7 separate regions of the Mus musculus genome follow, and regions 2, 3, 4, 5, 6 and 7 are each reported to be linked to region 1. The links are microRNA targets in miRTarBase. Many come from high-throughput screens and were not tested one by one. Region 1 holds a microRNA gene; each other region holds the end of a gene's coding sequence.
Evidence for each region. Region 1 holds the annotated microRNA mmu-miR-1192 (AAACAAACAAACAGACCAAAUU, at 1,265-1,286, opposite strand). A microRNA usually pairs through its seed, bases 2 to 8, with sites in the 3' UTR of a target mRNA and lowers its output. Matches are read on the target gene's strand: a 7mer-m8 pairs with bases 2 to 8, a 7mer-A1 pairs with bases 2 to 7 and ends in A, and an 8mer does both.

Region 1 (3,095 bases):
GAATTTAAGTCACTTTGGGGCGTGTGTGTGTGTGTGTGTGTGTGTGTGTAAGCTCTATTTTCTGTTTCCTGTATTTACTGTGGTGTTTCTGTTGAGTACGGTGCACATTGAAAGGACTTTGGAATCTCGATAGGAACCACTACATAAATGGCTCATCTTTACAGAGACCTTCTCTATTAAGTAACACCTGGGATAATAAATGCTCACGTAAATGTGATTCATTTCATCCCTCAGAGCACTGGAATAGATGATGTGAAAACCCTGAAGATCACACGGCTGCTTATAAAACTTGTCCCATGTGAAGCATTTGTTTGGTCTTGGTTCCCCAATCATCTCCTCAGGGGGGCCTGTGAGTGCATGAGCACTTGTAAAATATGTTGAAATTATCTGTACTCTGCCAGGTCCTTTCTGTCCATTCGCTCAGAGCCTATCTTTTCTGCTAAGCTCAGGAGAGCAGAGAAAATAAATGCTGCTCTTTGGCACAGCCTATTTGCAAGCCTAAGTGGACATCGGTGTTTGATTCGCCTTGTCTGGCCTCTATCTTCCTCTACTGGTAAGGAACAGTGCACCTTGCTTCCCTTTGCAGCCAGTCCTTTCTCTGAGCCCACACCTTCAGACCTGAGAGTCTTGGATAAATAAGTCTGTTTTCATAAGGGACACACCACTTAAGCTTAGCCGTGGCTTTCAGCCTGGGTTGTTTGCTGGAATCATTAGGAATGGGAAGTAGTCTTTCTGTGGGGCTTTGCTGAATTGGCAGGAAGTGAGTCTGGTGTTGCTTGGCAGCCATTTTAGTACCATTCAGAGACAGCCTGCTCATGAATGAAGCCAGAGCCAGCAAGAGGGTGGCAAAGCCATAGAGAGAGGGGGCACTGAATGTCCATCTGCATTCAGCAACTCCTGAACTTGGATCTCCATTTTTAATCTTTTTTTAAGTTTTGCTAAGTAGCCTAGTGTGCCCTCTAACACGTGGCAGTTGTCTGCTGCCTAAGCCTATCAAGTGTTGGGATTATAGGTGAGAGACACAACGCCCAGCTCAGAGCAAGTCCAAGTCTGGACTTTCTTGCTTGCAACCTATTTATGGATCCCAAACCCAGCCCCTGGCAGGTGTGGCAGCACTGGCCTGTCATCTCAGCAGTCTGGAAGCTGAGGCAGAAAGACAGCCTAGACCATAGAGTTGCAGGCTGGCATGAGCTATACAAGCCAGACCCTGTCTCAAAACACAAAAGCAAACAAACAAAAAGAGCAAATCGAAACAACAATGACAAATTTGGTCTGTTTGTTTGTTTGTTTTTACTGTTTGGAAGGAAATAGTTTCGGGTGACAAGGTCAGGAGCAGTTATTTTTGTTGACTTTCCTAACTAAAACTCATGAAAACTATCTTCACATCAGACCTGGGGCACAAGGAAGACAGCTTAAGATGGTGGCTCTAGGGCCAAACCCAAAAGAGCCATAAGAATAAATACAGAATCTCTTCTCACTGGGAGCAAGCCACTCAACAGCCCTCACGTACAACTTAGACCTTGAAACAACAGTAGGAATATCTCAGCATAACCTTGGACGAGTCTGATTCCTCCTGTTTAAACAAGAAAAGCAACACACTTCTATTCGGTCTTATGGGATTAACATTCAAGTGAAATGCACGTAAGCCACTTAGCTCAGGCTCTGAGACATACTACATGTTCAGGACGATAGTGCTCACTAAGTCTCAATGGCTGTCGCCATCTAACACACCTTTCACTTGTCACCATTGCTCAGCACCATCCTGAGTCCACCTAGAATTCTAAACAAAAATTCTAAGGCTCTCAAAGGTGTCTGGGATATGTATGTAAAATATATATTTTTTAATTGTAGTAATCCTCAGCAAAAGGTTGGCATGCATAATCTTTTAAATGACTCATCTGAACGTGGCCTCATAATTTCATGAATATATATAATTATGGAACCCCATTTGACAGGTGAGAAACCTGAGGTTTCAGGGAGATAAAAGCTTTGCTTGAGTCTTTGTGATGAGAGTTATGGAGTCAGGGTTAGGTTAGGCCTGGGCAGGTGCATGCTCCCATCACGGTACCTCTGTTTCTATGGTGAAGGTAAAGGCTCTTCTGGAAGCCCCTTGCCTTAGCTAGAGCTCCTGAGAAGTCACTCACTATTCTGATGGGCCAGGGCCTTGTCGTCACTAACTGTGATCTTAGCAGAGCTGATCCCCTGTAAAGGGCAGGTGCTGAAGTCCCCCAACCTTTCTCCCATTGTTCTGAGCCACAATGATCTGCAGTGTTGGCACATGCCTTTAATCCCAGCACTTGGGAGGCAGAGGCAGGCGGATTTCTGAGTTCGAGGCCAGCCTGGTCTACAGAGTGAGTTCCAGGACAGCCAGGGCTACACAGAGAAACCCTGTCTCGAAAAACAAACAAACAAAAAATAAATCAATAAATTTCAGGGGCCCAAGACACAGTGCTAGCAGCACTCAGGAGGCCCAGGTTCCATCCCCCAACCCCAGAAAACACTTTCATTCACGCAAAGACCCAGCAGCTCTGGCCTGGGATGATGGAGTGGAAACCTTTGGATCCCAGGTCCAGATTCTCAGCTCTTACCACAGGCTTCCAAAGCCCCGAGCACCTGGGAAGTGTGCAGCTAAGACAAAAAGAGGCTTGAAGACACACCTCACAAACGTGTGTGTTTAGGAACAAGTGGGAATGAATGTGGAGAAAGACCCAAGAAATTAAAAAAAAAAAAAAAAATTTGGGTTCCTCCCTACTCTGGTGGAGGACGCCATTCTCCCAATATCACTGCTAGTCCTACACTTACTGAGGAGGCAAGACAAATACTAACTCTTGGCCTTCCAGGAAGGAAAAAGCAAGGACTCTGAGCTTGGCCTGGAGCTGCTTCAGGAACTGAGGTTGGCTGGGCACGAGAGGAAGAGGCTGGGCCACTCCCCCAAGCCCCTATACCTGATTAACTCATCTAAGCGGCATCAGCATCCATCCGGCACAGCTCTAAACCAACAATATAAATAAAACCTCCTTAATCACAGATTCAAAGCCCCTGGAGCTCACAAGGGAGGGAGACATGAGCGCTCTCAGAAGCGAGCTGAAAGCCAC
Region 2 (3,095 bases), not on the chromosome of region 1:
TTCCAAAATGTACTTAAAAGCTGTCTTTCTCTTTCTTCAGAACAACAACCCAAAGTGCGTGGTTGGCTTCTGGCTAGTCTTGACGGTCAAACAACAGGACTTATACCTGCAAATTATGTCAAAATTCTTGGTAAAAGAAGAGGCAGAAAAACAATAGAATCGAGTACAATGCTCAAGCAACAACAGTCTTTTACCAACCCAACATTAATTAAAGGAGTCACTACCACCAATCCTTTGGATGAACAGGAAGCTGCCTTTGAATCTGTTTTTGTTGAAACTAATAAGGTTTCCAGTGCACCTGATTCTACAGGGAAAAATGGAGACAAACAAGATCTTTGATGTGTTTCATGTTTGTGGGCAGGTGAACAATATTTTAGAGTATTTTAAAAAATCATTTCTTACAGAGAAATTAATTTGCAGTTGAATGAAAGCATTTGCTCGTGGCTGTGCCGAGTGTTCTGCTGCTAGAAGTTATGTAGTCACACGCTAGCTGCTAGTCAAGTGATCTGTCTACACTTGACTGTCTTGTGGACCACGAGGACATTTGTTTCACCTAGTTTTTAAGATTATGGAGATAGTTGTCAGCTCCATCTTATCTCAGTCCCTAGGCTTATTGGAACAGTAAATTTGATGAACAGTAGAACACACAAGCTGCCTCAGAAGGGATCATTAACGCTTCTTAAAGTTCTGAGTTAGTTGACTTGAAGTCTTCAAAAATTGAGTGATAACATCTACTTATAAGAACAGACAAAAGGCTAATTTTTTTAACCTTATAAATAAACTAAATAATAAAAATTTTCTCATCTGTATTATGTCCAGTGTTGAATTTACTTTAGGTGATGTGTTTTTACCAGCAAATAATTGATAGTATTATCTTTTATTGTATTTATAAAAGTGTGTTCTTAAGAGGTCACTGGAGCACTGTGAAGAAGATGGTTCTGACTGACAGCTTCTTAACCTCCTTACAGTGTCACAGATCTCATCCTGAGCGAGTCACAATATATAGCTAGATCTCATCCTGAGCGAGTCACAATATATGGATTTTTGTTCTTTTCCTCCAACTAAGGCAGGAGTCCTTTAAGATTATACTTAATGATATAATCAATTCTGGCAGTAATGATTTTTAATCCTGAATTTTCTGCTTCTATATAAGATAATTACTTTTGTAAATTCCAAAATCAGGTTATACATTAAATATTTGAAATATGTCTGTCGGGGTTGGGGATTTAGCTCAGTGGTAGAGCGCTTGCTTGCAAGGCCCTGGGTTCGGTCCTCAGCTCTGGAAAGAAAAACACAAAATAACAAAAGGACCAAAAAAACCCAAGGTAACTGAAATATGTCTGTCACATTGGATAGATTTCTTGTGGTTTTCACTACTGAGACTATAATTTGCTTGCTATTTCAAATACGATGACTTTTTGTTTGGTTGTTTTTTTTTGCTTAATAGTGAATTTTATGTGTTTCCCCATAGAATTGGAAGCTTTATACGCTTGCTGTGAATATACTACAGATTAGAACTGTCAGAAATAAATCACAGAATTCATTTATAGACACTACTAACAGCTGTGGGTTTTGATAAAAAGTGATTTGGGTTTTGCTTCTTTCATATAGATAGGTTTATCAAATAAATAATTCTGGAGGAGTTCATATTAAACCATGTCTAACCCAATATCTGCTCAGAACAGAAGCACTAAAGACTTCCTAGGAAGCCCTTTTTTGAAATGACAATATAATAAGTAATGTATCTTTTCATCTTAAGATAGAGAGAAGCATTTACGGTACTCATTTATCTTTTAGGCTGATTTTTCTGACATTCAGTAGTAACTTTTCAGTTGAGAAAGGGGGTTGAATAATCTACCACTGAGGCATGGCCCTGACTCTCAAAGGTTTTAACAAATATTTACTTCTGACTTGAGATGCCTGAACTTTTCTCATGTCTAAATGTTACTCCAGACATCTAGACTAAGCACTAGGAGTAAAGTAGAAATAAAATGTTGAGTCAGCACTATTTAGGTTTGGGGTGTTGTTTTGTTTTAGAAGATGAGCTTTAAAATAGGATTTGTGACTAATATTTCAGTTGTATAGGAAAGAGCTTAGACAAATAAATGATAAAACTTTCTTTTAGGGTCTTTATTGTTTGGCTGTCTATGCTAGATTATATAGTATTAACCTAATAACTACCTGTGTCCATTCTTTTTTATTTGTTTGTTTGTTTGTTTGTTTGTTTGTTTCAAGACAGGGTTTCTCTGTATAGGCCTGGCTGTCCTGGAACTCACTTTGTAGACCAGACTGGCTTCGAACTCAGAAATCTGCCTCCCAAGTGCTGGGATTAAAGGCATGCGCCACCACCGCTCGGCCTGTGTCCATTCTTTATTAAAGTCTTAGAAAAACAGTTGTAGGACTAGAGTGGCAGAAAGTTTTGTGGTTTAGAGTAAATGAATAGATTGGTCACAGCTCCAATATAATTTTAGGGACTTCCTGAAGTAGCATTACATCACAGGAAACTACACTTTCAATTAAATAATTCATAAGCTACAGTAAGAAACTAGATATCAGAAGCTTTAATTGTATTTTGTCAGCTTGGGAAGAAAAAGATTAAAGGACTATAAATGCATTTTCATGTTCTACATCTTACTCAAGTCTTAGCCAATTATTCATTTACCTGAGTGCAGCGGCTCTTTATTTTATGCTGTCTTTACTGGAAAAAGAAATGAAATACAGTTAAATTTGTATTTTTAATAGGTTGTGAAAATACTTTACTGGAGAATTAAAAATATTTGAAACTTAATTTCTTTTTTTAAGATTATAGCTGCAACAGAACCATAACATATACTCCACACAAAGCACAGTACAATGTGAATGCATGCATGTTCCTCTCTCTGCTAATAACAAGAAGAGTGTTTCTTTTAGTGTTCACATGTACTGTTAGTTAAAACGCATTAAGTGGTAAAGGGGTGTTTATAAGAAGAACCAAAGAACTCTTCTAACAAATAGATGTCATGTTCTAAATGTGATAAGTGAGTTATTAATGGTATGTGATTTTCTTTGGTTTGTAACACTATGACTTTACCGTATTTTCACGTGTACATTTCACA
Region 3 (3,000 bases), not on the chromosome of region 1:
AAAAGTTACTGGTTTGCTTTGCTCAAATTAATTGAATGTATTAATGTACTTTCATTTTCATTTTTCTCTTAGGAAGCCATCATACAAATAATGAAAATGAGAAAGAAAATTAGCAATGCCCAGCTGCAGACTGAATTAGTAGAAATTCTGAAAAACATGTTCCTGCCTCAGAAGAAGATGATAAAGGAGCAGATGGAGTGGCTGATTGAACACAGGTACATCCGGAGGGACGAGGCCGACATCAACACCTTCATCTACATGGCCTAGCCGGGCCGCTGCTGCCGCACACACGCCCCTGAAGGCCTGGGCAGAGGCTGTCCCAGCCCCAGCTGGAGGAAGCTTTATTTGGACTTTGATTACATAAATATTAAACTCTGCCTTACCTTACAAAACGACTCTATTTTGCCAGTCACATTAGTTAGCATGATGGCATTCCCTTCATGTTGCACACTCTTTAACAGCATGCTGTTTTGTGGAGAAAATTGCATTCATGAAGAGCCCATTGTGAACTTTCAAAGTCAATTCAATTTTTACCCACCTAGAGAAATAACATGTCGGAAGGGTGAGGGTGGGGTTCTTTTTGCTTCTTTTATCCCCTTTTCTTCTTCAAAGAAATATACTTGCACAAGGAAGGATTTTCAGATATTCATGCACTGAAAAATGCTGGGGATTTTTGTTTGTTTGTTTGGGTTTTTTAAATTCTTTTTTTTTTTTTTTTTTTATGAAATTAAAGCTAGACGTAGCACTAAGCTACTTCTGATGCAAAGAATGAATCGTCAACACTGTGCTGGGCAAGGGCAGGCACACTTGAGAAGACACGTGTGCCAGTGTCAAGTTGTTTGTCAAACACTGCTTTCACTTTAGTGACTGGATCTTAATGGTAACCTGAAATGGTATTAAATATTTCTACCTTATAAATCCTGATTTTCAATGAGCAGGAGAGTTCTGTTTAGTTATTTGTTGTTAAATGATAAAGATTTGGGATTTTTCTTTTAAACCTTGTACGGCTGGAGAGCTTGTTTTGAAAACATGAAGTTTATAATGAATGTTGCTTCAGTTAAAAAATGTGTGGGTATACGTACATTATTGATTGCATAATCAGAATCTTGAAGCAAAAATTAAGTGTGTTACTAATACACTCAATTCTCATACGTCTAATATTTATTATACTGTACCTGAATTTGTTGAAAACAATGCAGAAATATTCTGATGCAGTGCAGTGAGAGAATTGCTTTCTTAACCTGTAGCATAGAATTATTTGGTGATTGAAAGTGTTGTGATTAGGGATTTACCACCTCAGTTTTCTGGAAAGACATTCTCTATTTAAAAGTAATAATTACCTGCCACTTAGCAGGAAGAAAGGTGAGATTACAACCTGCAACCTGAAAAGCACTCAAAGTTGTTAGTCTTAACATGAGCAGTAACCTTGCCAAATATGTACATATATTTATATATTTTAAAAATAAACATTTTTAAAATGTTCAGAGGGCAACACCTACCTTGCTCCTCTCAGTGATCCAGAGCAGTGACTCAGGACTTTACAGAGCAGTGGAAACTTAGAGATTGAGGACTCAAGCAACTGAAGAGAATTATTCCCCAGCAGGAAAAATGGCTCCCTGTGGATTTTACTCATTGTGGTGCACGTTTCGAGTTTTCTTGCAAATTTTAGAACTTTTGATGTTAAGTAGTATTTTGAAGTATTGGTTCTGAAGCTAGCAGAAGATGGAGTGTTGAGAAGCATACAGTATTATCTATCCTATTACCACAGAGGGCTGTGGATCTGCCCTGCTGCTCAGCAGCTGGGGTCTCCTTGCTGGAAAGAAGTAAAGTATATGTTAGATGTTTAAGGCTTTGATAATTATAGTCATATATCTGTTGTGAAACTCATAGGAAGTTGGAAGTGCATGTGTGCTTGCTGTGCCCTGCAGCTCTGAGGTGATGGCTAAAGCAGGTGTGCAGCGCAAACTCAGTCCCTGCTGCTCTACCACGTGGAGGATGGAACATCCGGAATTTAGAGGGATAGTTTTATCATGACTGTTCAATAGCTTGGTGTTGGCAAATTTTCCTGTCCCAATACCAGAATGCCAAAGGAGGAAACAATCAAGGGAAAAATTTTAGGCCATTTAAAATGACAAAAAAGATTTGTCATTTTAAACCATCATTTTCTTTAGAACATCTTTGAAATTTCTAATCGCTTTGGTCATTTAAGAATGAGAGCTGTGATGTTTTGATTTATAAAGGCAAACTTAATGCAAAGTGGGTAACACTAAATCCATAGCAAAGTTTTTTATTAAATTTTTATAAATTTTTTAATAGTTAATTATGTCCTAATTGTATTTTGGGGAATGAGCAGCAGTAAATACCACAGACTTAACAGTTTCATCCTTTTTTAAAAATATATATATAAGAGTGTAACTACTTTTTGGTGTTTATCAAAACTATTTAGTTGACAAGGTGCCTATACCATTGTTGGGATTTTCTTTAAATGTTTTATGAATAGATTTGATAATTTATCTGAAGATCCAGAACCACTGACAGCGCCCCTCTCTCTCCCTGCAGACTTCATAGTCTTGCTATCTGAGCAGGGCCAGACATGCACAGGGAGGGAAGGAGAGGCCAGCTCCCACTCACACTGGGAGGCATTGTTAAGTGAACGGTACCGCAGGCTCAGATTTGAGCACTTCTGTCTACCTAAGGTGGCGCCATCTGTAAATGCTAACCTGTCACCAACTCACGGCCAGAGTAAGGAGACAGGGAACAGATGCATGCAGTGGAAAGGGGAGACTCCTGGACGCGCAGTTAGACAAATGTGAGGCCGTCATCAGTCTAATAATTTATAAGGATCCTCAATCAAATTCTGAAGTCTCCGACTTTCACAGTTCTTGGAAGGGATCCCTGAGTTTACCAGCGTGCTCACTGAAAGCTCTCACTCTTTGTGCAGAAATATTAAAGTCTCCGAAAAGGTGAACTGTTAATCATTCTTATTTTTTTTAACTCTTC
Region 4 (3,095 bases), not on the chromosome of region 1:
TACTCTGTCTGCCCTGATGACACAAGAAGGATCTGGCCCAGTCCACAGGGGAAGCCTGTTAGGACTGTGGAGCGTGTTTCCCCGAAGGTAGCTTCCAACTAGGCTTTCCTCACTGCTTTCTCCCCCAGCGCCTGTATTATGTGAAGGAGGCCCATGGCATTGTGGTAACAGATGTGACCTTTCTACCTGAGAAGGGTTGTGGTCCAAAGCTCCTTGGGCCCCATGAAACTGCTCTTTTCTCTGTGGCTGTGGATAGTCGTTGCCAGTTGCACCTGCTGCCTTCACGGCGTGAGTCATTGTTGTGTGTGTGTGTGTTGGCAGGGAGGGTACCACTTTAGCTATAGCAAAAATTGGCCCCTGGAAAATGGACTGTTTTTATCCATCTACCTGCCCCTCCTTGAATGAAAGAGGTTAAAGGTTCTGGTTTTCAAGTTCCAAAGCATCTTTGCCCACTCATTTCTTCCCTTGCCCTACCCACAGGGAGTGTTCCTGTATGGCTTCTGCTCCTGCTGTGTGTCGGCCTTATTATTGTGACCATCCTGCTGCTCCAGACTGCCTTCCCGGGATTTCTCTAACCTCTAGAGCGATGGGAATCAGCCTTGGACAGTGCCGCCTTCCAGAGCAGAATCACTGAGCCCCACGGCTGAAGCTGCATCTGATGAAACTGATGGGTACTGCTTGTCCCTCAGCTCACACTTGGCGGTGGCCTCTCGATCACTCTGGGTCTTGGGAGCTCTTGCCTTCACCTGTGGATCCACTTAAGACATTGTGGTCTGAAGCTCAGGCCACAGTGCCTGCCTCGTTCCCTCAGCCTCCCTCCCAGGGCTCCAGAGCTCAGCTCTTCCTTTTCTAGAAGCATGTGAAGATGCCCAAGAGCCTGGAGACATTGCCATCCTTCCTACAGAAACTGTTTCTCCTCCTCCCCTCCAGCCTTCACACAAGGGCCTTGGCTTTGTTGAGACAGAGCCTGTGCTGGCACTTGCTGTTAGGGTAGGAAGAGGCACAAAGAGGACCCCGGTAGCGGTGATCTGTGGCCTTCTGTGGGTAGCACCAAGCCAGTCAGTCCAGACACATAGTGAGTTCCTGGAGGGTCTACTGCAGCCTGAGGAAAGGGAACCTCAGCTCGTTAGGCAGGAAGAGTTGATATTTAATAAAGAGAGAACAATTGAACCGAGAGCCCAGCAGTCCTCTTGTCAGCTCTTTCCATCTTCAGGAGTGAGTACTCCCAGGTCAGGTAGCCCCACTGAGTGCTGGAAGATGGCTCGGGCATACTGATGTAGTACGCGGTTCATGTAACAGTGTTGCCAGGGCATCAGCCCTTCCAGGAAGCCAATGTGGCCACCCCGAGCTGTGATGAGCAGGGCCACATAGGGAGACTTCTGGGCAGCCTGCAGAGGGAAGGCTAGAAGGGAGTCAGGAGGTCAGAAAGCTGTCCGGGAATGAGAACCCAGGCTCATACCTCAACCCTCATCTATGGCTCAGTAGCTGTGGGATCAGGACCTCGTTGCAGGCACTCACCATGGACTGGGGAGAAGGGGTCATCTGCTGCATTGAGGCAGAGAACAGGGGTGTGGATGGCATCTACCTTGGTTCTTGGGCTTGCGGCTTGGTAATAAGCCGCACAGTCTTTATACCCAAAAGCCACAGATGTGTAGCGCTCATCCAGCTGGCGGATCGTGCGGGCCTGTGTGGTAGAGGCATGGTAGGCTATAATATTAGAACGTAGGAGACCAACACTGGGGTGAGAGGGTGATCGAAAGATACCTTTATCGCAAAGTCTACATCCAACACCTTTTCAATTGGCTTTCGGTTCCTGGAAAAGAATACATCAGGGTTTGTCTGAACTCCTGCACCTAACCCAGAGCTCACAGCTTCTGTCTTCTTACCTCCTCAAGAAAGCCCAGATTGGAATGGACCCAAGCACTGGCAGAGCCTGCCATCTGCTATCCTACCTGGCCACAAGCCGGCAGAGTCCAGCAGTGAGTGGCTGATTGAAGAGCAGTGAGTTGAGTGGGGTCTCCAAGGAGTCAACGGTCTCAAAGGAATCCCAACATGCAGACAATGGTCAGTCCTGCGACCAAGCCTCCAGCCTTCCCAGTCTGTGCCAGATAGTTAAGCACCAGTATCCTGTAAAATTGGATGCAGGGCCATGGAAAGTGTTGGCATGGGAACACTGGGACAGAAGAGGAGAAAAAGACAAGATGAACAAACCCAGGCAACTATTACCCTCCAAAAGAGATGCCCACAGCCAGCAGTGGAGCTTGGGAGTAGCGACGTTTTATGTGCTTCACAACTGTTTCTAGGTCTTCAGTATTGCTGGCACAGTAAGCCCTGTGAGTCTGAGGGCAAAGCGGGTCATTGACTAGGGAGGGAGGCTCTTGCCAGAAGACAGCCAAGCGGAAGGGCTCAGGAAGGGTAGGGGGTTGGTAAGTAGGTAGAGCCCTAGGGCCAGTGGTCTCTAAAGGGAACAGGGACAGGGCCACCACAAAGGAGGAGGGTACTCACCAGCAGCTCTTCCCCTCGGCATCCTCGGTTATTAAATACAACAGCCCTGGGGCAAGATAGGAGTGTGAGCCAAGCCCTCCCAAGAAGACCCTCCCCTTGATAGTCTTCAGAAAGGCCCCTGTCAGAGAGTACCATATCAGGGTCAGATGTACTTTTGCCCTTCCCAAGTTCTGTACCCTGTCCTTACCTATAGCCATCCTTCAGAGCTTGGTTAACTAGGTGTAAGATGTACGGCTCCTGGCTACTGCCGCTGATGCCTGGAAGCAGCAGTACTATGGGCTGGGTGGTAGGGTCCGGGTAGTGAGTGCTGTTAGGCTGCTCGGCCCAGTCTAGAAGGAACTGGCCTCCATCTGGGGTCTGGAGGACTTCACTGGGGTTTAGAGATTGCAACACAAAGATGTTATTAGGAGTTGCACTTCTGCATGTCAAAGCTCTACCCTCTGACTCGCCCACAAGCTCTGCTGTTTGTCATGGGTATCACTTGAAGGCACGCTTCATATAAAACAGCAAGGTGACCAGCTAGATTGGACTATTAACCTTGTGTGGGTGCAAGTAGAGAGCCTTTCCATACATATAGGCTCATGCTTTGG
Region 5 (3,095 bases), not on the chromosome of region 1:
ACAGAGCCCCAAACTCCATGATTCTGTGACTATAAGTCACACAATGTCCCAAGCTTCTGTCTAGACTCCACCCCCACACCCCCACCCCCGAGCTACCTGACTATAGCCAGGTATGCTCCTCCCCACAGTTACCTGATAGCACAGCCAGATAAAAGGACCAGATGTGGGTCAGTGAGCGTGGGGGAATAAAGGGAGTGGGCAAGGGCCCGCATCCCGCCAGAGTTCCAGTGCACTGGGTGATGGACACGAAAGGATTGTCACAAGGGCGAGAGACCTGGGTTTGGTCCGTGGCTGGAATGCAGGAAGGTCTTCCAGCAGGAGGTTAGACAGCTCCTTAGCGGAAAGCTTATCCCATCGTTCAAGCACAGTGGGCCTTGATGAGCAGAGACAGTCTATGGTTTTAGAGCTTTATTGTAGAAAGGCAGGGGGAAGAGAGAAGGTAGAAAGAGAAAGGCTGGCCATGGCCATGTGGAGAGAGGAGGGAAGGGAGAGAGAGGAGGAGGGCTAGAGAGGAGAAAAAGAGGTGAGAGCTTAAAGAGAGTGAGGAGGGGCCAAGCAGCTCCTTTTATAGTGACCCGTCACAGCAGGAAGCATGGGTTGGTGCCTCATGCTGAGAGCTCATGTTTATGGCAAGCAAGAAGCAGAGGGCATGTTGGGAATGGCACATTTTTATAACTTGAAAGCCCGCCCCTCAGTGAGGCCCTTTCTCCAGTAAGGCCAAATCTCCTAGACCTCCCCAGACAGCGCCACTACTGGGAATTAAGTGCTCAATGCCAGAGCCTATGGAAGACATTTTCCTTCAACTCCCCCATATCATGCTAAAAATGATAGACTGTTTAAGCATGTTCAAATGTTCTATATTGCAATACAGATTAGTATTTTGAAAAATTCAATCTTTGATGGTCTTAGAAAGTAAGTTTTGGGGACTCAGAAGTTAAGAGCATTTGCTGTTCTTGCAGAGGACTGGAAGTTAGTTCCCAGAAGGCACATCAAGTGGCTTACAACCACCTACAACTCCAGGTCCAAGAGACCCACAGTCTTCTGGCCTCCAGGACCTCAAAGTACATGTACATACTAACACATATGTACGTATACACACACACACACACACACACACACACACACACAAAAGCAAGTTTCACTTTGTCCTAAACTCAAATGTTTATCTATATCCTAGTTAAATGGGTTAAATAAGTTAAAAAAAACAAACAAACAAACAAACAAAACCCAATCCATTATTACTAACAAGGCAGCAAGAGTAGTTTCTCTCCTGGTAGACTGCAACTAACCAGACCCACCCTCATCAAGTCACTGGTAGGAAAGGAAGTTCCTTCAGAGAGAAACCACCTCAGACTTTCACCACCGGACCATACCCCCCTAGCCCAGCCCCTGACATGTACAAATTCTCTCCTGAAGATTTCCCATGAATAGAACATTGAAGGAGTACATTCTCATGAATGCAAATGAAAGGAAATGAAACATTAATTCCCAATCAACCTTCCTTTGGAAGTTTCCAACTTATAAACTTCTACTATGATTATCTTTTAATGAAACAAACACAAAACACACCTGCTGAAGACTTTATTTGTGGCTTGTAATGGAACTCAGAAATAGCAGAGCATGAACTATTTGTTAATTGGATACATGATAGAATACTTCTATTTTTTTTTTTAAGTAACAAAGAAATACCTAAAAATTTATATGAGGTCTAATTATGTACCTTATAAAATTTCAAAATAATGACAAATTAACACCTTGGTAGAAAAGTTCATTATTTATTAAATACATATTTCTCAATGAAATTGATAAAAATGTCTATCTCATGGATAATCTCAGTAAGGTGCTATTTTCATACTAAAAAACAAAACCAATAAAGATACAAAGTTTGTTTAGCCATCATTCTGGGTTACATTTCGCCACAACCATCACACTCCGGTGTAACCCACAGGAGACTGCACACCAAGCCTTAAAACCATCTTTCCTTAAAAATGCCAACATTGCTGAAGGAAGTGTTTCGTGACAAAGGAGTACTAGACACAGTTTTTCACTGTACAAAAATGACCTTTGGTTTTGGCTTAAAGCTGTTCTTTCTTATTAGTTGAAGTAGTTATAGCTAGCAAAAGTCATACAAAAAAAAAATCTGTATTTCATTTCAATTCAAAGAAAATGAAGCCACCAATCAAAAGGCAATGGCACATATCAAACAATCTGGAATAAAGATCCCTGAAGTCCACAGACATGCCAAGTGCTTCCAGGTAAATAGTGAAGCCAGAGAGTGACTCACTTCCTGTCATGAATAAATAACCTCTAACAATCATTAAAAGCATCAGCCTAAGAGAGGAATCAGTTGGGGAAAAAGTCTGAATGAAGGCACAGGGTGTAAGTCTGCAGCAGATAAGACTGACTCAACTGTATATGCAAGCAAGCGTGTAGCCACTCGAACACATACAGATGTCACATGATTAGGGGCTAAATACCATCAGTACACGGCTCCTACCACAAAAACTCTGTGCCTATGAGTCATATATCCTTCACATCAGAACAAGCCACAACTTTCCACAATTAATGTCCTTTAATACACAAATTGGTGTCTCTCCAAAATGAAAAGTATTAAATAAATAGGGCAGGTAAAATGAAATCGGAAACTGTAAGTCACAAAACGGCTGCACGTCATCAATGCCGTGCTCAATTTTATAACTCAAGGCTGCCGATGGCTTGGTCTCGCTCTCCTTGAATAATCAAATGCAGATGCCTTTTAGCAATGGCAGCGTTCAAATCCCACAAAAAGTCAAGCAGCGTCCCCTGAAGGAGCGCCTCCATTGGTAGGAACTGTAAAATCTGCCGAGGGGCACTGGGGTGCAGCAGCTTGCTCAAGAGGTCATGAACATTCTGTAGAAACTGGAAAACTGCATCTGGAAGGTTCTGATAACCAATGCACAGCAAGACGGCACAGGTCCTGAGGGGCTCCAGGGACGTGGGACAAGAGAACGTGATAAATCTAAAACAGCCGTGGAGGACGAAGGTCAGGCCAGCCATAAACCTCGTGAAGCAAGAAAGGATGGGCAAGACCATCACATCTCCCCTGTGAAGCCGCC
Region 6 (3,095 bases), not on the chromosome of region 1:
CCTGGGGAGAAGTGCTCAGAGTGACAGGGAGGGGAACGGGCAAGCTTCAGGATCCCAGCAGCCTGACTGCACTGTGTGCCTAACACTGCTCTGGACGGTCTTCGACCAAGCAGACCTCTGATGGTTGCTCTTCCCCACCCCCAGGAAATCGATGGCAAGGCCCTGCTCCTGCTGCGCAGTGACATGATGATGAAGTACATGGGCCTGAAGCTGGGGCCCGCCCTCAAGCTCTCCTTTCACATTGACCGGCTGAAGCAGGGCAAGTTCTGAACAGGAGGCACTCTTCTCCCAGGAAGCCGCCCGCCAGCTCCCAGGCACCTTAGTAGGGCTCTGGGTGACCTCAGGACTCTAGGAGGCTGGAAAGCCACCACTGCTACCCTTCCTGCCCTGATGTGTCCTTCCATGAAGGACTGAGGAGGGAACAGTGGGCCCGGGGCTGGTGCTGCTCTTCCCCTTAGCCTGCTGTGGCTCCCAGGCCCTTCTATTTATTTCTCAAGGCTAGCCAGCCTCTCTCCACAAGTTTAGACGAGCACCTTTCAAGAGATGAGGAAGACGCCAGCCCTAGGACCTTGAAAGGCCCTGGTACCCAGGCCCCTTGCCACCTCCTGGGCTTGGCATAGTGTCCCAAGGCCCCCAGCTCATGCCTTCTCACTGGATCCCCAGACTCTGAACTTATGGTGCAGACCTTTTTTAAAGAGATCCTTTCTTATTGCTAATTTATTGCTTCTGGCGTTTGGACTTAATGCTTCTCTTGCACCAAACAGTTTTTTGGAAGAGGGAGACCATCCTCTGGTCCAGAGAGGGCCTCTCCAGAGAAGTGTGGCCTATTTCAGAAGACACTGCCCTAGGGCACTTCTTCTCTGGAATGGACAAAGTATTTGGCTCACTGAGCAAAAGGTGAGGGTCTCTCTTCCTACACTGGGTCCTTTGTAGCCCCAGTCTTCATCTCTGATGGAGTTTCCCCTCTCCCTGCCCCCACAGCTCCCTGCCCTGGTCAGAATTGCTGCAAAAGATGGGGCCTAATGCAATTAGGTCACGGGGCCCCAATGGTGGGAGGAGGACCTCAAGGCTGGAGGAGTTCTGCCCTCTGCTAGCTCCTGTGCTTTCCTCCTAAGCAAGTCAGCAGCACTGCTGCCCCCACTGCCATCTGAACTATTTTGTGTCCGTTTGTTTATAAATAAAAACCAATACAAATGCCCGTGTCTTTTTAACCAGTTGATATCCAAATCACTCAACAAGCAGGTTACCCCTTCACTTCATCTTGGTTCTTTCACATGTAAAACAAGGAGCCTGAGCCGGATCATCCCTAGGAACTCTTGCCTCACAGTCCCAAAGAACAGGCTACTGTCCAAGTGCCCACAGCACTCAGCATCGTGCAGGCCCCAGGCTTTCTCCCAGTTGCTTCACTGTCAGGTTGACAATCATTTGTACTATAGTTCCATCAAGCCAAGAAGCAATCCAAGAGATAGCAACTCCAGAGCCTCAGTAGGCTGCTTTCCCTCCTCCTCGTGGGGTGAGAAGAGGCAATACAGACAGCCTTCATGGTACCCACTGTACTGAGCAAGGATCATGCAGCCTATTGGCTTACAGTGGGAGCAGGTTTACAGGAGGTGAAGAAGGCTGACTGGAGCCAGTGTAGGACACAACAGCCTGAGATAACAGCCAGGGAGCCACCAAGCTACACTGCTGCTGTGGGAGTGAGAGTTGTGGGGCCGACGGGAACAGGCATGGCCAAGTCTTCAGAGAGCCTCATCCGGCCACCCTGTGGAGCTAGGCCTCTTCCTGACCTGCACACTATTGCCTTTTTACTTCCCTGCAGTTCCCTGCCCAAGCTTCTGCCTCCAACCCTACGTGCAACAAAGGCTCAGGCATGCCTTCAAAATGGCTGCCCTCAGGAAGGCAAACAGCTACTTGATTGAACCAGTCAGTCACTGTGGTCTCCCTCCCCCTTGTTCCCAGTAATCAGGGTCACTAGAAGTAGAGGAGGGAAGTGTGTGATGAAGTATTTATCTGGGAGCCAACAAGGTGACTTGGTCAGTAAAAAGTGTTTGATCCCCAAAATTCAGAGGTAGGAAGGAGAGAGCCAACTCCAGAGTTGTCCTCTGTACTCCCTCCCCCATATCATACACAGTAATAAATCAGGGTTCTTTTTCCTTCCTTCTTTCCTTTCCTTTCCTTTCCTTTCCTTTCCCTTTCCTTTCCTTTCCTTTCCTTTCCTTTCCTTTCCTTTCCTTTCCTTTCCTTTCCTTTCCTTCTCCTTCCCCCTTCCCCCTTTTCCCCCTTTTCCCCCTCTCCCCCCTCTCCCCCCTCTCCCCCTCTCCCCCCTTTTCCCCCTTTCCCCCCTTTTCCCCCTCTCCCCCCTCTCCCCCCTCTCCCCCCTTTTCCCCCTTTTCCCCCTTTCCCCCCTTTTCCCCCTTTTCCCCCTTCCCCCTTCCCTTCCCTTCCCTTTCTTTCATCCACTCATTCATTTGTTTGGTTTTTCGAGACAGGGTTTCTCTGTGTAGCCCTGGCTGTCCTGGAACTCACTCTGTAGACCAGGCTGACCTCGAACTCAGAAATCCACCTGCCTCTGCCTCCCAAGTGCTGGGATTAAAGGCGTGCACCGCCACTGCCCGGCATAAATCAGTTTCCAAATAATGATAAAAAGTCCTTTTGTAAGCTAAGACTTGCCCTCAAGGAACTAGCTGCCACATTGTCAGAGGCTGCATGTCACTCAAGCAGCAGATAGCTCTGTCCCTCAAGATGGCTAGCTGACTTTTAGTTCCTTCTAGATAGCAATAACTAGAAATATCTGTGTTTGACACATAGAGAAACCTTGTATCAGGGGAGCCCTGGACCACACCATGTACTTTTTGGTTCATCCTGGGAGCAGCTAGGTCTGGTCAGTGGTCAGTGGGAATTGGGGACGAAGGAAGGAAGTGGAGACTTTAGACTGCAGAGCCAAAGGAGATGGTAAGTGGTGGCTTGTGTATGCACCGAAGGCTGGAGAGGTGGTGTAGAGGGAAGAAGTGTCTTCAGGTCCACAGTTCTAGATTTTACTCCAAGGGCCCCATGGGCAAGGTGTGTATCGATCGAGCTGCTGTGTCTGCTTACAT
Region 7 (3,095 bases), not on the chromosome of region 1:
TCTGATTCCCTAGCAGCGTACCTGTCGGAGTTTCTGATGAGAGAGATAAAGCTGACAGCACTGAGTAGAGAGAAGCACACTCACTGAAACTGTCCCTGTCCCCTCTCTCTGCAGGTGCACTGACAGAGTGCTACGATGAGCTGGGGAACCGGTACCAGCTGCCAGTCTATTGCCTGGCACCACCAATCAACATGATAGAGGAAAAGAGTGACATAGAGACTCTTGATATTCCTGAGCCACCTCCCAATTCTGGACACGAATCTCAGCTCCGCCTGCGGCTCTCCACAGGCAAAGACCTCAGGCTCGTGGTCCGCAGCACAGACACAGTGTTTCACATGAAGAGGCGCTTACACGCCACAGAGGGCGTGGAGCCAGGCAGCCAGCGCTGGTTCTTCTCTGGCAGGCCTCTCACGGATAAGATGAAGCTGGAGGAGCTGAAGATCCCCAAGGACTATGTGGTGCAGGTTATAGTGAGCCAGCCTGTGCAAACCCCAACACCAGTGGAGAACTGAGCTGGACTTGCCTTCTTCCAAGATCCCGTGGCTCCTTTTTATTGTTACCATTTCTTACTCTTAAGGCGTGAAATTTATTTTCACTGCTCTGAATTCCCTATGAATGGATTTAGTTCTGAGGAATTACCAGTGAAAAATTCCATCTGTGATGGAGACCAACAAAAATAATAAAACACACAGAGCCAGCCTCTGATACTCTTATAATTACAATTTCTAATTTGAAAGACAGTTAAGAAATAGATAACCATTTATTTTAAAACATTTATCAACTGTGTAATGGCTGTATTTAAATGATCTCGAATGTAAACAGACACCAGACCCATCAAAAACAGCACCAAGCACCTTTTGGACACAGAATTTTTATGACATACATGTCAAATTTTTTTTTTTCCAGAACCATCAATAACAGTTACAAAACCTAATCTTTTTTTTCTTTTAAAGTGGAACCTAAAAGAGCATAGAGTTTTGCTTCTCTTCTGGGTTTGTAGTCCTACCCACCAGGAGGCAGTGAGACTGGGAGTTGTCAGTGTTCCTTCCCCTCCCACCAAGTTCTGCTCCCTGTTGACATGCACTCAGTCCTGTGGCCGTCATGCTGGCAGCGGGCACCCTCTGGCGCCCTGAGCAGCACGTTAGTAAGTAGTTAGAGCTTGTATTCTCAGTTGAGAAGTTTCTAGTCTTGCTTCATAGTAATCTTAACATATCTGTGGACCCAGGCTTGACAGCTAGCTACTATGTGATGTCTTTGCTGACCCTGATGCTCTGCGTGACCATTTCTGTAGCTTCCTGGCCCCGCCTATATATTCCTGGGCCAGGCAAGACAGAAATGGAGTATAGCTGCTTCCAGTCCAGAATGAAAAGCAATCTTCTCCTTCCTGCCTGCAGGGAATGTGAGTAAAACCCTCTCTGCCTGTTCCTGGGAAAACTGTGCCTATTCTAAGCCTTGGAGAAAATTCCAATTCAAAATGTTCGTGTGTGATAGCTAACTAGTGTCATTTAAACTGCATTGGTGGGAACAGATGGTAGCGCCTGGCTCAGACTGGAGTGCTTTCACTTAACTCTGACTCCAGTCACTGTGGTGGCAGGGTTCCTCCCACACCTTCCCAACAAAGGTGAATTAACCTCCATCTGCACACTGGGCTAAGGGACTGAACATAGTAAATCAGGCTCACCTTCTCTGGAGAAAGCTGCCAAGGGTTATATTTAATCTGGAGCCTTTTAAAAGCTGTTTTTGCCAGGCATGTTGTACCTGCCTTTAATCCTGGGCCTTGAGAGGTAGAAAGAGGCAGATCTCAGAATTTGAGACCAGCCTGGAATACACAGCTAGTTCTAGGCCAGCCAGAGCTACTTAGTGAGACTGTGTCTTAAAAAAAAAAGTTGGTTCCCTGAGAAGGGGACTATCATGTGACCACACTGTCTCTGAAAGTTTGTGAGATGTGAACAGTAGATGAAAGAAGGGTCTGTGCTTTTCTCAGTCAGGAAATACCAAACCTCCTATTCGGATATAAAATGCCATTCATAATTTTAGTGGCAGAATGAAACCTCTAAGCAGTTTAAAATGTAATTTTTAAGTATTAAATTTCTTATAGCCTGTTTAAATATATCTATAATTATAACTTACATTTCTGAGAACTTTAACCATTTCCCTAATTCTGTTCATCATTTAGTTTGTGATTGTATCTAATTTAGATTTGGTGGTGACTGATCTAAATTCAGAAGTGCACACACAGCTTTAGCAACCAAGGATGCCCACATTTCCATGTGGAGGCTCTAGGGTATTCCAGTGCATCTCCCTCCCACCATCAAGAAGGTTGGTTCATTTGTCATATTGAATAACAGTATCTCAAAGTCCGTCAGTTGGAAAAGTGGTTAAACCTATTATTTTTCTAAAGGAAATTTGATGGTGTCATGAATAACCTGATTGTTAAAAGGTCTTGTTTCTTGAGGGTTTGTCCTAAGAGATTTGTGGGGTCTTTTGGTTTTTGTTTGTTTGTTTGTTTGTTTAAATTTTAAAGGAACATATACTTTGAATAACAATCCTCCAGGCATGGTGAGAAAAAAACCTAGGTGCTGGAAATTGTCAATAGGTTAATAACCTAGGTGAGAAAAAAACATGGTGCTGGTAATTGTCAATAGGTCGATGTAAGATTGGATCAATACTTGATGTGTATCATTTTAGTATGTAGGGGTTTTGTGCTTTTTTTAAAAAAAAAAATTCAACTTTTCTCTTTGTCTTTGCCATTATTTCTCTATACAGCGACAGTTTCCTGCATCCTATAGGAAAGTGTGAAGTGTTCTCTCTAAAACCGGTAGTGACCACCAAACCTAAGCTCTGCTCCACCACATACTGCAGGTCACTTAGAGGTGTGCCTCACCAGCACTGCTGCCTTGGTCTAAAATAGGTTCACCATGGCTCAGTCGCTACTACTTGCTGTGCTGCCAAGGCAACACTGGATTCCAACACTCAGCCAGTTGGGCCAAACTGGGGAGCTCCAGTTTCAGTGAGCGACCCGCCTTGAGAGGAATGACACCCAGTGTCATCTCTGGCCTCTGCATTCACATACTCAAACAATGGTGTATATATCT

Region 2: miRTarBase lists Pex13 as a target of mmu-miR-1192. Seed matches in the 3' UTR shown: 7mer-m8 at 2,204-2,210, 7mer-m8 at 2,208-2,214, 7mer-m8 at 2,212-2,218, 7mer-m8 at 2,216-2,222, 7mer-m8 at 2,220-2,226 and 7mer-m8 at 2,224-2,230.
Region 3: miRTarBase lists Cul5 as a target of mmu-miR-1192. Seed matches in the 3' UTR shown: 7mer-m8 at 676-682 and 7mer-m8 at 680-686.
Region 4: the mRNA of Preb is a reported target of mmu-miR-1192. The part of its 3' UTR that is shown has no 7-base or 8-base seed match.
Region 5: the mRNA of Cmtr2 is a reported target of mmu-miR-1192. Seed matches in the 3' UTR shown: 7mer-A1 at 1,676-1,682.
Region 6: the mRNA of Scmh1 is a reported target of mmu-miR-1192. Seed matches in the 3' UTR shown: 7mer-m8 at 1,166-1,172.
Region 7: the mRNA of Ubtd2 is a reported target of mmu-miR-1192. Seed matches in the 3' UTR shown: 7mer-m8 at 2,494-2,500, 7mer-m8 at 2,498-2,504, 7mer-m8 at 2,502-2,508 and 7mer-m8 at 2,506-2,512.

Annotation. Positions count from the first base shown.
Region 1 is chr19:23,147,641-23,150,735 of GRCm38, reverse strand. It overlaps Mir1192 (microRNA 1192), which reads right to left and starts at 1,305; the gene lies at 1,185-1,305. The region is part of intron 1 of Klf9 (Kruppel-like factor 9); the gene reads right to left.
Region 2 is chr11:23,646,536-23,649,630 of GRCm38, reverse strand. It overlaps Pex13 (peroxisomal biogenesis factor 13), which reads left to right. Exons shown (of 4, transcript NM_023651.5): 4 at 41-2,348. The coding sequence ends at 339. Among named protein-coding and RNA genes, the nearest start is that of 0610010F05Rik, 14 kb to the right of the region's middle.
Region 3 is chr9:53,615,083-53,618,082 of GRCm38, reverse strand. It overlaps Cul5 (cullin 5), which reads left to right. Exons shown (of 19, transcript NM_027807.4): 19 at 73-3,000. The coding sequence ends at 267. Among named protein-coding and RNA genes, the nearest start is that of Acat1, 6.2 kb to the right of the region's middle.
Region 4 is chr5:30,953,123-30,956,217 of GRCm38, reverse strand. It overlaps Preb (prolactin regulatory element binding), which reads left to right. Exons shown (of 9, transcript NM_016703.3): 8 at 129-288; 9 at 481-3,095. The coding sequence ends at 575. It also overlaps the pseudogene Abhd1. Among named protein-coding and RNA genes, the nearest start is that of Preb, 5.7 kb to the left of the region's middle.
Region 5 is chr8:110,222,960-110,226,054 of GRCm38, reverse strand. Cmtr2 (cap methyltransferase 2) reads right to left here. Exons shown (of 2, transcript NM_146215.4): 2 at 1,566-3,095. The coding sequence ends at 2,692. Among named protein-coding and RNA genes, the nearest start is that of Cmtr2, 6.5 kb to the right of the region's middle.
Region 6 is chr4:120,528,990-120,532,084 of GRCm38, forward strand. Scmh1 (sex comb on midleg homolog 1) reads left to right here. Exons shown (of 18, transcript NM_001379185.1): 18 at 145-1,211. The coding sequence ends at 270. It also overlaps a transcript of Slfnl1 not described here. Among named protein-coding and RNA genes, the nearest start is that of Slfnl1, 1.7 kb to the right of the region's middle.
Region 7 is chr11:32,515,976-32,519,070 of GRCm38, forward strand. It overlaps Ubtd2 (ubiquitin domain containing 2), which reads left to right. Exons shown (of 3, transcript NM_173784.4): 3 at 115-2,734. The coding sequence ends at 512. Among named protein-coding and RNA genes, the nearest start is that of Efcab9, 10 kb to the right of the region's middle.